3 linked regions of the Canis lupus familiaris genome follow. The protein of the gene in region 1 purifies or fractionates together with the protein of each later gene. This does not show direct contact. Links are inferred from orthologs where the notes say so. Each region holds a gene or a part of one and is shown on either strand. Other genes may lie near its edges.

Region 1 (3,746 bases):
TCCAACTAAACTAGCCAGGCGCACCCCCATCCTTATTTTAGAGATGAGAGAGGTATAGTGACTAACCCAAGATCCTATAGATACTAAATGGCAGAGCTAGGATGACAGGGAGAGAAGCCCTCCCCAGCACTGGTCTCCATGGTGCTAGGAAGGAGTTCTGGAAGGGGACTTGCAGGGTGCCCAGCGGGGTGTCCTGGAGGGTGTGAGTGGTGGCTGCAGCCCCGTGAGGATGGAGGTGGGGCAGCACCATGGCCTCACCTCCAGCGTGATGTCGAAGATGACCAGCTTGGAGCTGGTTGCCATGGCATCGTAGCAGGTGTGCTCCTGCATGAAGTGCATGTAGACTTGGGCCCCCGGCTTCTGCAGCTCGTCGTCCCAGCCCGGCCTGGGTAACAGGGCCCGCGGGGAGGGGCACAGGGTAGGCCTCTCTTCCACCAGGCCGAGCTCGTACCCCCAGTCTGCTGTGACTGGGAACTCTATATCCAGCTCCAGATCATCTGGACTGGAGCCTACGGCTGAGGCTGCATGGTTCAGGGGGGAGATGTCCCACTCTGTCGGTGGGGTGCCCACCCTGGCCAGGGGGGCAGCTTGCAACAAGTGTGTGGCCTTGGGGAATGTGGCCTCCAGCCCGGTGCACTCAGCAGGCGGCCTGGCCTGGGGATCTGTTGGAGGGGAGAGGACAATAAGTCCATCTTCCAGAGTGCTTTCTCATCTGCTGGCTCGGGTCATCCTCACAGCAGGCTTGGGAAGCCTGGATGCTATGGCCCCATTTTGCAGGTGAGAACGCTGAGTCTCAGAGCCACACAAGATAGTGGCTCTGTCCTGAGTTGGCCATGCCAGGCCTCTGGCTCTGCCGTGCAGTTGACGTTTCCCATATGGACAGACTGGGGCTACAAGATGAGGCTTGGGTCCATCTCTATGAAGGGATCAGAGCAGAGCCCTGGGTCCCAGGCTCTGGGATGTCCCACTGCCCCCGCTCCCAACTCTCCGGAACTGGCCTTGGCCTCACCTTCCTCCAGACCCTGCAGCTCCCCTTCCTTCACCACCTCCTGCCTCGTCCATCTCGAGGACTTGGCCCCCTGTTTCCCATGGCTTCTTTCTGAGCCAGTGGTCATGGCTGGTGATGGCCATGAAGTGCTCTCTCCTTGTTCTAGGAAGCTCATCTCTGGAAGGGGGAATGGGGCCTGTTTGGTTAATAGGGAGTAACACAACGAAATCAATGAAAATGTCATTAATAATAACATTTAATATTTGCAAGCTTCCCAAGAGTTTTTCTCCTCCATATTTCTCACTCCTAGCAATCTTATAAGGGAGACATTATCATCATTCTTATTTTATGAAAAAGAGACCTGAGATCAGAGATGTTAAGCGGTTTGCCACAATTCACACAGTGAGTAAGTGATAAAGTCAGAACCAGGGTCAGAGTCTTCAGACTCTATATCCCTCCCCTCCCCGCCTCCCCCTCCTCCCCGCACCCCCGCAACTTCTTCTGATAGAAAAGAGTGATGAAGGGAAAAGGAAAAGACACAGGAGCAAAAAAAGGAAAAGGAGGGAGAGAGAGACAAAAGATGGGCTATCAGAGCCAAGGAGATGACGGTCCCAAAGAGGGGGGACAAAGGAAGTGGGAGAAGAGGCACTTCCTTCCCCTGAGGAGGAAGCAGCTGCACTTACCTTGATGCTCGGGTCCCCCTAGGCTGCTCCAGGATGGGTTCTGTGGGGAGGAGAATGGTCTGGAGGGGTGGGGGAAGTGCCCTACCTTCCCGAACCACAGGTAGGTCCTCTCCCCGGCAGGCCTGCGTGTGCATGCACCCACCCCCGCAAGCACCCCCCCTTACACAAACACTTATACACTCAGGAAAACACACATCCAACCATTCCCAGACACACACAGGACCACATAGGTTGCTTACACGAAGAATACACGTACACACAGACACCCACATGCTCACACACACACACACACACACACACACACACAGAAGATCCAGGCCGCACATGCACACACACACACTCACACACATTCACACAGTGTGCTGTGCTCGCAATCCCCTGGCCTCGGCTGCCCCAGCTCCCGTCCCCGGGGACCCCTATACCCGGCGCAGTGTGTGCTCCATGCGGCCAACCCGGACCAACGGAGAGCAAGTGCGCAACACTGGCCGGGTGGCACTATTCTGGGCCCGGCCCTTGGCACCCTGCCCTCCCCGGATCGGTTTCTCTCTGATTGGGTGTCAGGCAGCGGGAGGGAGGGCTCTGCAGGCTCAGCTGCTCCCACCCAGAGCCTGGGGCAGGGTGGGGAGGGAAGGGGGGCGCCTGGAATCTTGAGACCTGGCCTTGGGCTCCCTCCTGGGTCTTCAAGGACGAGCTTGAAGGGCTTTGCCATGGGGGAGGTGGCTTGGAGCACTGTAGGGGCACCGGTGGGAGGTGGGCTTTCAGAGTCCTGGGCTCCTGCTCATCTTTATCAGGTGCCAAAGGAGGGGAAATGGAGGCGAGTTGAGCTCAACTTTCTTCCTTGTACAAACTTCAGTCGTAGGTGGTGCTGGAGTCAGAGGGGGCAAGTGGGAGCCAGCTGGGAGGCTAGAGGCTGAGGGGTTTGTGGGTGGTCCCAGAAAAACGGCCACTGTGTGTCCAGATGTCCCCATTCGAATCCCAGGAGCCCATCCCTTCCTCTGCTGGAAGTTGGGGTGGGATGAGTTAGGAAGGTGGGGAGCTAGGAGACTCACCATGAACTCACCATGAAGGTGTGTGGTGGGCTTGAGGGCCCAGGATGAGAGCCATCTGTTTCTACCAGTGATCTGGAGGTGGGTCCCAGGGTGTGGGAGCCCCGGTCCCAACATCCTCTCTGCGTGCTGTTCCTACATATCCTGGTGCCAACAGGATCCCAGCCCAGCTCTGGTGGCTGCCCACCCCCCTTCCTTGGCATTCCTGGGGCCTGAGTCAGTATCCAAATCGGGAATGCTGACCCAGCTGCTCTAGCTCCCCTCTCTCTGCCCCCCCCTTCCTCCTTCCAGCCTCTCCCATCCCAGTCTCTGACCCTGGAGTGGACACTCGGTAATGAATTACTGGATTTCTTGCTGAATGTACGGAACATATTTCTAATCACCTCGCAAGGCCCCTGTACTGCCTACAGGGAGGAGGAGGAGAACAGATCAGGGACTTGGCCCTTCCCCGTGTGTGTCTTGAGTAGCACCGGGGGTGGGTGCAGCTCTCCTGCAGGATTCCTGTGGCCTGCTCCCGTCTCGTCCCAGATGGTGGAATGTCCAAGGCACAGCCGATGGGACACCTTGGCTGGTGGAAGCGTCAAGTGGATCATCCTTGGACAGGCCCATCTGCTATGCGATGGACCTAGAAAGCCTCTACGCACCTTAAGCTCTGGGCCCACCTTCACAACCGAGCCAGATAGAGAACAGTTGACACTATTGCCTTCTCCATCTTCGCCCTGGGGCCTGTTCCACCTCCAGGGCCAGTGGGAGGGGTTCTTCTCTAAGAAAGCCTTCCCCAATAGCATCACTTCCACTGCACTAGTCTCCTTCTAGTGCAGGCTCAAGGTACATAGAGTTGGCATTTAGATGACTATGCACATGTGAACGTCCTCTATCTCCAAGGAAACAGTGGCCACCTTGATGACCAAAGTGTGTTGGCTGGATGTGACAGAAACCCTGTTTGACGGTCAGATGGACCTGATTAAAATTCATGTTCTGCCGTTTGTTTGCCATAAGACCTTAAAAAGCATTGCTTGTATTCCCTGA
Region 2 (3,687 bases), on another chromosome or scaffold:
AAAAAATTCTGGGTGATTACAAATGGTATCATAAACCAAAGTTCATTATCAAAAAGTACATTCTATTCCAGTCTTTTGAATCCCAACCTTTAATTCCTGTCAACTACTGAAAACATCTGGTCTAGGAACAGTTTCTTACAATACAAATAATTCAGCCCCGTGTTTATTCTTTTTTTTCATTTCGATGTGGGTTTCAAGAGGGGGCATGTTTGGTCAGTTTTGTTGACCTAGAGCCGACTCTGGCACACCATACTGCCCAATGAATCAATGAAAGAGTAAATACCACAGGTCTCCTAGAATCAGATCTGTGTATCACTCAAAACATTTATGAAGATGCTTATTTGTTATTTAAGAAAAGATATTCTGACATAAATGCCAATAACATAAAATGTCTTTACTTCTAATTTATGCTTCTTGCTTCCTAGGTACTATGCCACATGAAATTAGCATTTCTAATTAGCTAACCTGTCTTATTTACCAGTTTAAGGAAAAAAAACACAACTGTACTCTATCATAAGGCCGAAATGGCTTTTTGCTAAATCAGTTGTTAAAAACAAGACAACAGGCTCAAAATGGAGTCACTTATGCTAAGCTCCACATCACCAAATACAGCCTTAATTACACTTTTGGCCTCACCCAGAAATGGAATCTTGGAACGTCCGTCAAGAACTACCTTATTAGCACTAGTGAGGTCATCTGCCTGACAGACCACCCCCATCCCCTAAATGAAAGTGATCTTGCCACAACCCATCCACTTTTTGCCTTTTTCCCACTCCCTTCTGCCCATGGAAGGCTTTCATTTGGTACAGCTTTTTGAAACTCCTTTCTATCTGCTAGATGGGATGCTGCTAGAATCACGAATCATTAAATAAAGCCAGTAAGATCTTTAACATTTACCCCATGGCATTTTGCGTTTTAATATTTTGAATTTCTTCAGTGGCTGAACTGTGATTTGTACCTGATTGTGCAGTTAATCTGGTCTTACCAGATTAGACAAATATGTGGCAAATGATAAAGAAATCTATAAGCAGGTCCATGAGCATGAACACATTTGTGGAATAATTTAGCCACTATGACTAAAAATACAAAAACAAAGATGTAAGACAGAGGACATGAAAATCTGTCATAGGACAGTTGTTTAAATCCAAACCTTGTCTTTTAATAAACTGCAAATATTTTGCCCTAAAGGGTCACTTGGGGAAGTTGCAACATTCATTTATAAATGTTTAAACTTATCCTAGACCGACCCGATTTTGATTTTTTATTAATATCAAATTTGTGCATTAAAGGAAATTCCTCCAGCTGGTGTCCTCTGATACACCTTTAATACAAACATGACTTGGGGTTTTTCCTGTAGATAAGTCTCTGTCCCATTTTGCACCTTATTTCTCAACTGATTGATCACACTCCATTATTCACAGCAAAACATCTTTTTCCTTTGTCCTGCTTCTTGTAAGGTGTTGACTAAGACCTAGATTGTTCCTCTTCAAGTTGGGGACAATGTTACCATTAAGTGGAAATTTTAAATACTAAACAAGTCCAACTTGCTCTACAACTGCTCCAATTCCAGACTTGAACTTACAAGAAGTTGTGTTACAAGAAACATGATCTGCCTACGTTTTCGAAAGCACTAACATTTTGTCTCCTTGGGATTTCTGAAACTCCTCTCATATTCGGCTGGAAAGGGAGAGATGCACTTAAGCTACATTTGCAAGTGCCATATTTGGCCATTCTTTTCATAACTCTAAGTGGTTTTCAAGTCTTGCCTTCCCTTTTCAATAAATCGTGACTCCACCTTCTTTCTACTATAGAAAGCCACTAAAAGGCTTAGAACAAAGATAGATCTTTTAATAGTTTGCTAAACACCCCCCCCCCACACACACACACACTCACACACACGTATACACTTCTTTCTTCAGATCCCACTGCTAATCAAATCTTTTTTGATTCCATCTTGAGAAGTGAAATAAATAGAAATGCGTGCAGGGTTAGCCGGGGTTACTTTCAGAAGTAAGTTCATTTCAACCTCACCCAGATGCATCAGAAATATCCCATCTTCCTTCCTATGCTTCCTCATCGGCCAGCAAGGCTAACGCACACTCCTTACAAAGGGGAGTAATAAGGAAAGGCAGGAATTTCAGGCATATTAGGAATATCGATTACCGCTATTCCTCTTGGTAAGACAATTCCCTGACTGAACAGAGCCCGGGGGGGGGGGGGGGGCGAGGGCACGCTCTGCACATTTTTCAAGCTAAGCCCTTTCAAGGGCAGATCCCAAGGTGAGCAGTGCTAGGGGCTTCTCAGCAGGGAAGGCTGAATGGCCGCGAAGGCTGTGCACCTCCTCCAGCGGCGCCTGGGGGCTGCGCCGGGGCGATTCCTGTCACGCCCGGCCCGCGGGCAAGAAGTGCTGAAACACGCACTCGCACTCGCACTCGCACACGCACACGCACACGCACACGCACAGCCGCCGTGAGAAGGGCGCGGGGCACGCGCCCGCACCCCGCCCTCCCTCCTGGGGGCTGCGCTCAAGGACCCGGGCCCGCGCCAGGCGCAGTCTGCAGCCCCCGCTCCCGGGCCCGCCGACCCGCCCGCCGCGCCCCAGCTGCAGCGCCCCGGGGCCTGCCTCCTCGGCCGCGGCGCAGCGAGCGGGAGGCCCGCGCCCGCCTCACCTCTGGGGCTGCTCTCCTGCAAGTACGGCGGGGCCGTGGGGGTGACGGTTCCCGGCGGCGATGCTGACAGCAGAGGCGAGCGCTCGTCCACCCCGTCCGCAGCCATGACTGCCGCAGCGGCGGCGGGGCCGCGGGGAGGCTGGGCCGCGGGGGGAGGAGCGGGAGGGGGGCGGGGAGGAGGGGGAGGAGGCGGGGGAGGAGGAGGAGCGGGAGGCGGGGCCGCGGGGGGAGGAGCGGGAGGGGGGCGGGGAGGAGGGGGAGGAGGCGGGGGAGGAGGAGGAGCAGGAGGCGGGGCCGCGGGGAGGCTGGGCCGCGGGGGGAGGAGCGGGAGGGGGGCGGGGAGGAGGGGGAGGAGGCGGGGGAGGAGGAGGAGCGGGAGGCGGGGCCGCGGGGAGGCTGGGCCGCGGGGGGAGGAGCGGGGGGGGGGGGGGGAGGAGGGGGAGGAGGCGGGGGAGGAGGAGGAGCGGGAGGCTGGGCCGCGGGGGGAGGAGCGGGAGGGGGGCGGGGAGGAGGGGGAGGAGGCGGGGGAGGAGGAGGAGCGGGAGGCGGGGCCGCGGGGGGAGGAGCGGGAGGGGGCGGGGAGGAGGGGGGAGGAGGCGGGGGAGGAGGAGGAGCGGGAGGCGGGGCCGCGGGGGGAGGAGCGGGAGGGGGCGGGGAGGAGGCGGAGAAGGAGGCTGGGCCGCGGGAGGAGGAGGAGGAGGAGGAGGAGGCTGGGCCGCGGGGAGGGCGTGGAGGGGGCTGGGCCGGGAGGAGGAGGAGGAGGAGGAGGCTGGGCCGCGGGGAGGGCGTGGAGGGGGCGGGGCCGGGGAGGAGGAGGAGGAGGCTGGGCAGCGGGGAGGGCGGGGAGGAGGCGGGGCCGGAGGGAGCAGGAGGCTGGGCCGCGGGGAGGGCGTGGAGGGGGCTGGGCCGGGGAGGAGGAGGAGGAGGCTGGGCAGCGGGGAGGGCGGGGAGGAGGCGGGGCCGGAGGGAGCAGGAGGCTGGGCCGCGGGGAGGCTGGGCCGCGGGGGGAGGAGCGGGA
Region 3 (3,003 bases), on another chromosome or scaffold:
AAGTGAGCAGATTAAAGAACAATCCGTGGTTGGACATTTGTAAGAAACAATTTTAGGACAAAGAAATGGAAGAATGACTTTGTGGATAACGTATAAACTTGAGGGCCTTACAACATCACAAAGTGTTCCATGCTGGGATTTTAAATCAGCCTAAACTTCATTCAAACAAATTCTAGAATGAGACTAAGATGCTGGGGCTTTCTGGAGGATGACAAGAAAGCATAGCAAGAGGGTCACCACATTTCACCCTGGGGTCTCAGTTTAGATTACCGTGAGCTCTGTAGTTAAACTGGCCTTCCCAATGATCATTGCGTGGTAAATGCTCTTCTCATGTTTCCTAAGGGGCATGCCAACCAAGGCAAGCGTAGTGTATATAGGCAAGTAGGTGTGAGACGTTTCAGATTTTAGTCTCAGTGAAAAAAGGAGGATTACTCTGTGGCAATTCCAGTCACGAGAATTGGGACCGAACAGAGTAATGCAGGTGGCATATATATAAAGTTGAAGGGGCCCAAGGAAGAGACCATCATGACAGGAAGTGGCTGGTCAGAAAACAGCCAGGGGTTTTCACATTTTATTAGCTACAGCATAGACCCTTGAGCTGCCTCATTCCCTCCCCCCCCCATGGGGTCAGGCCTTCCCAGAAGCCCCTGCCTTGGCTGCCTGGGCCCTCTGGAACTCCTGCTGCAGCTGAGCCAGGGTCTCCCTCTGTTGCTCTGACTGCCGCTCAAGGTCCCGGAGCTGGGATTCGTATCGCTTACTGAAGAGAGGCAAGAGAGACAAGCAAATGAGAAATTGATGGGATTTACTCTTGAGGGTGCTGAAGGGTTGGACTCTCCTGGACTCCCCGTGGAGGGTTTGAGGAAGCAGATCAGACAGGGCTACCCTGGAACTACTCCAACGGCTCCTCGACATTCTACGCTGGGGGCGTCCGGTGCCTTGCAGGGTGTCAGAACAAAGACTCACATTTCAGCTGTGATATAGTCCAGCCTCTTCCCCACTGTGGCACGAGCCTCTCCCAGCTCCTGTTTGACCAGCACAGGACCCAGAAGTTTAAAGACCACGTTGGATCCATCTAGCAGGGCCAGCTCCTGATGGAGGGATGGGACATACAAGATCAGAATCACTTCCAGGTCAGGTCCCTTCTGGCCCGGCATATCCCTCTCTCACCTCCTTCACGATATTATTTTCTGTTAGCTGCGCCTCAAGCTTCTGTCTCCCCGACATGGATTTACTCAAGTCTGGGGGTTAGGAAGAAAGGGTTGATTAAACACATCACATGTGCCGCCTAACCCCAATCCTGGTGAGAAGAAAACGGAGCTGAGGAAGTAGACAAGGAGGCGGCAACAGGTCAGTGGGTGGGGACGAGCTCCGAGATGGGGAAGGAGCTGCACGCGGGGCCTCTAGTGGGGCACAACATATTATCTTGGTTTGGCTTTGGGCTGTAAGTGAAGGGTCTGGGGCGAGGCCGCGCCGACGCTGCTCCCTTACCCTTCTGTAGCTGCTGATATTTCTCCACTTCTCCCTGTAGCTTCTTCTGGATTAGCTCAGCCATGGCGGGGACGAAGGCCCGCGGGGAGTGGGAGCGGGCGCTGGGTCTCACTCTGGGAGGTACCTAAACTCCCCTTTCTGGCCCGGCCTGCGGAAAGGACAGCACTCTTGCGAGGCAGCCTCCCAGGGCACCACAGCCTCTCCTCGTCCCAGAGAGCCCTCCACGCAGGCCCCAGGAGGTGGCGGGCGCAGCAAGACCCCAAGCCCCTCAACCGTAACCCAGCCATACTCACGTTCTCGCTTCACTATTACTAAACCTGGAAGTAAACAAAGAATGCTGGGAAAAGAAGGCGCCGGAAGCTGTCTTCTGACGCATGCCGGGAACTGTAGTTTTGGCACGTTTAGTGAACGGTGTTCCCCCAGAAAACTGGACCCGGGAGGTTTTAGGCAAGACAGGGAAACGGAGCTGGAAAAAAAAACTGCACCGTTACTTTGTCCCCAGCCCCAGACTACCTTTCTTTCATTACTCGGGCATAAGCGGCTGCTCGGGATTGCGGAGCCAAGACCTGCCCCGCCCCTCGAGAGAGAGTGGGCCCTCATTCAAGATGGCGCTCAGACGGCTTCAGACCTGGTAGGCACTGATTGGACGAGGGCCGGCGGGCTTCCGGGAGTTTCCGAGCCGTCTGTGGACAGCTGAGAGAAGTTTGCACGTGGGTCGTCGTTCCGGTGGGCTAGATGGAAACAGCCTCCAAACCCGGCAGAGATGTCCAGCCCAAGAAGGCCAGACTTCAGACCAAGAAGAAGGTAGAGACCTCGCTAGGGTGGAAGGGAAATTTTTAGCTGCGGGGTCCCGGGGGTGGGGGGGCGAGGGCTATGGAGTGTTAGAGCTTGTGATCTGCCCGTAGAAACCGCGGAGGTACTGGGAGAAGGAAGCCACTCTGACCGCTGCCGGAGCCTCTCCAGGGCCCCCTCGTAACAAGAAAAGGAATCGAGAGCTCCGCCCCCAGAGGCCAAAGAACATTAACCTCCCAAAAAAGTCTCGGATCCCCGGGAAGCCTCAGTTCCCGAAGAAACCTCGAGAACAGAGAAATCTTGAGCCTCAGAGAAATTTGTCCGGGGTGAGCCTGGGACCTGATAAGGTGGTGGGGCAAGTTGCCTTGTACTTTGCAGGTGCGATGGTTGGGGTCAACCCTAACCTGTCTGCTAATTGCTTCCTCCTTCCCCAGGCCCAGGATCCATTTCCAGGCCCTGCTCCCATCCCTGAGGAAGTGGCTCGCAAGTTCCGTCGCATTGACAAATCCAAAAAGGTGAGGACCAGCTGGGAGTGAGGAGGGATTGCAGCTTGGGAGAGCATATGAGTGAGTTGGATGAAGAGGAACTGTGTGACTCTCCTGGCACCCCACATAACACCTGGTTCTTTTTTCATTACTCTCCTGCCAACGCTGGTATAGCTGCCACATTCGAAGTCGAAAACACGAAGCCGACTAGAGGTGGCTGAAGCTGAGGAAGAGGAAA

Evidence for each region. The genes of interacting proteins can lie anywhere in the genome.
Region 2: the proteins of PRKAG3 (region 1) and PIP4P2 purify together in Homo sapiens (affinity purification with mass spectrometry; 3 studies listed by BioGRID and IntAct, with this or other methods). This does not show direct contact. The link is inferred for Canis lupus familiaris from reciprocal best matches to the Homo sapiens genes PRKAG3 and PIP4P2.
Region 3: the proteins of PRKAG3 (region 1) and PFDN6 purify together in Homo sapiens (affinity purification with mass spectrometry; 3 studies listed by BioGRID and IntAct, with this or other methods). This does not show direct contact. The link is inferred for Canis lupus familiaris from reciprocal best matches to the Homo sapiens genes PRKAG3 and PFDN6.

Annotation. Positions count from the first base shown.
Region 1 is NC_049258.1:25,287,710-25,291,455, forward strand, and holds the start of PRKAG3 (5'-AMP-activated protein kinase subunit gamma-3), read right to left. Parts: upstream 2,862-3,746; 5' UTR 2,835-2,861; coding exon 2,732-2,834; coding exon of another isoform or gene 2,721-2,731; intron 2,537-2,720; exon of another isoform or gene 2,454-2,536; coding exon 2,326-2,453; intron 2,206-2,325; exon of another isoform or gene 2,115-2,205; coding exon of another isoform or gene 2,094-2,114; intron 1,712-2,093; coding exon 1,672-1,711; intron 1,185-1,671; exon of another isoform or gene 1,166-1,184; coding exon 1,010-1,165; intron 663-1,009; coding exon 259-662; intron 1-258. UniProt on the Homo sapiens protein: AMP/ATP-binding subunit of AMP-activated protein kinase (AMPK), an energy sensor protein kinase that plays a key role in regulating cellular energy metabolism.
Region 2 is NC_049250.1:37,070,953-37,074,639, forward strand, and holds the start of PIP4P2 (type 2 phosphatidylinositol 4,5-bisphosphate 4-phosphatase), read right to left. Parts: upstream 2,827-3,687; 5' UTR 2,776-2,826; coding exon 2,670-2,775; intron 1-2,669. UniProt on the Homo sapiens protein: Catalyzes the hydrolysis of phosphatidylinositol-4,5-bisphosphate (PtdIns-4,5-P2) to phosphatidylinositol-4-phosphate (PtdIns-4-P).
Region 3 is NC_049233.1:2,883,223-2,886,225, reverse strand, and holds PFDN6 (prefoldin subunit 6), read right to left. Parts: upstream 1,824-3,003; 5' UTR 1,782-1,823; intron 1,637-1,781; 5' UTR 1,553-1,636; coding exon 1,489-1,552; intron 1,239-1,488; coding exon 1,168-1,238; intron 1,089-1,167; coding exon 964-1,088; intron 758-963; coding exon 628-757; 3' UTR 527-627; downstream 1-526. Other genes in the region: WDR46 (WD repeat-containing protein 46), read left to right, coding at 2,224-2,292, 2,394-2,606, 2,715-2,795, 2,940-3,003. UniProt on the Homo sapiens protein: Binds specifically to cytosolic chaperonin (c-CPN) and transfers target proteins to it. Binds to nascent polypeptide chain and promotes folding in an environment in which there are many competing pathways for nonnative proteins.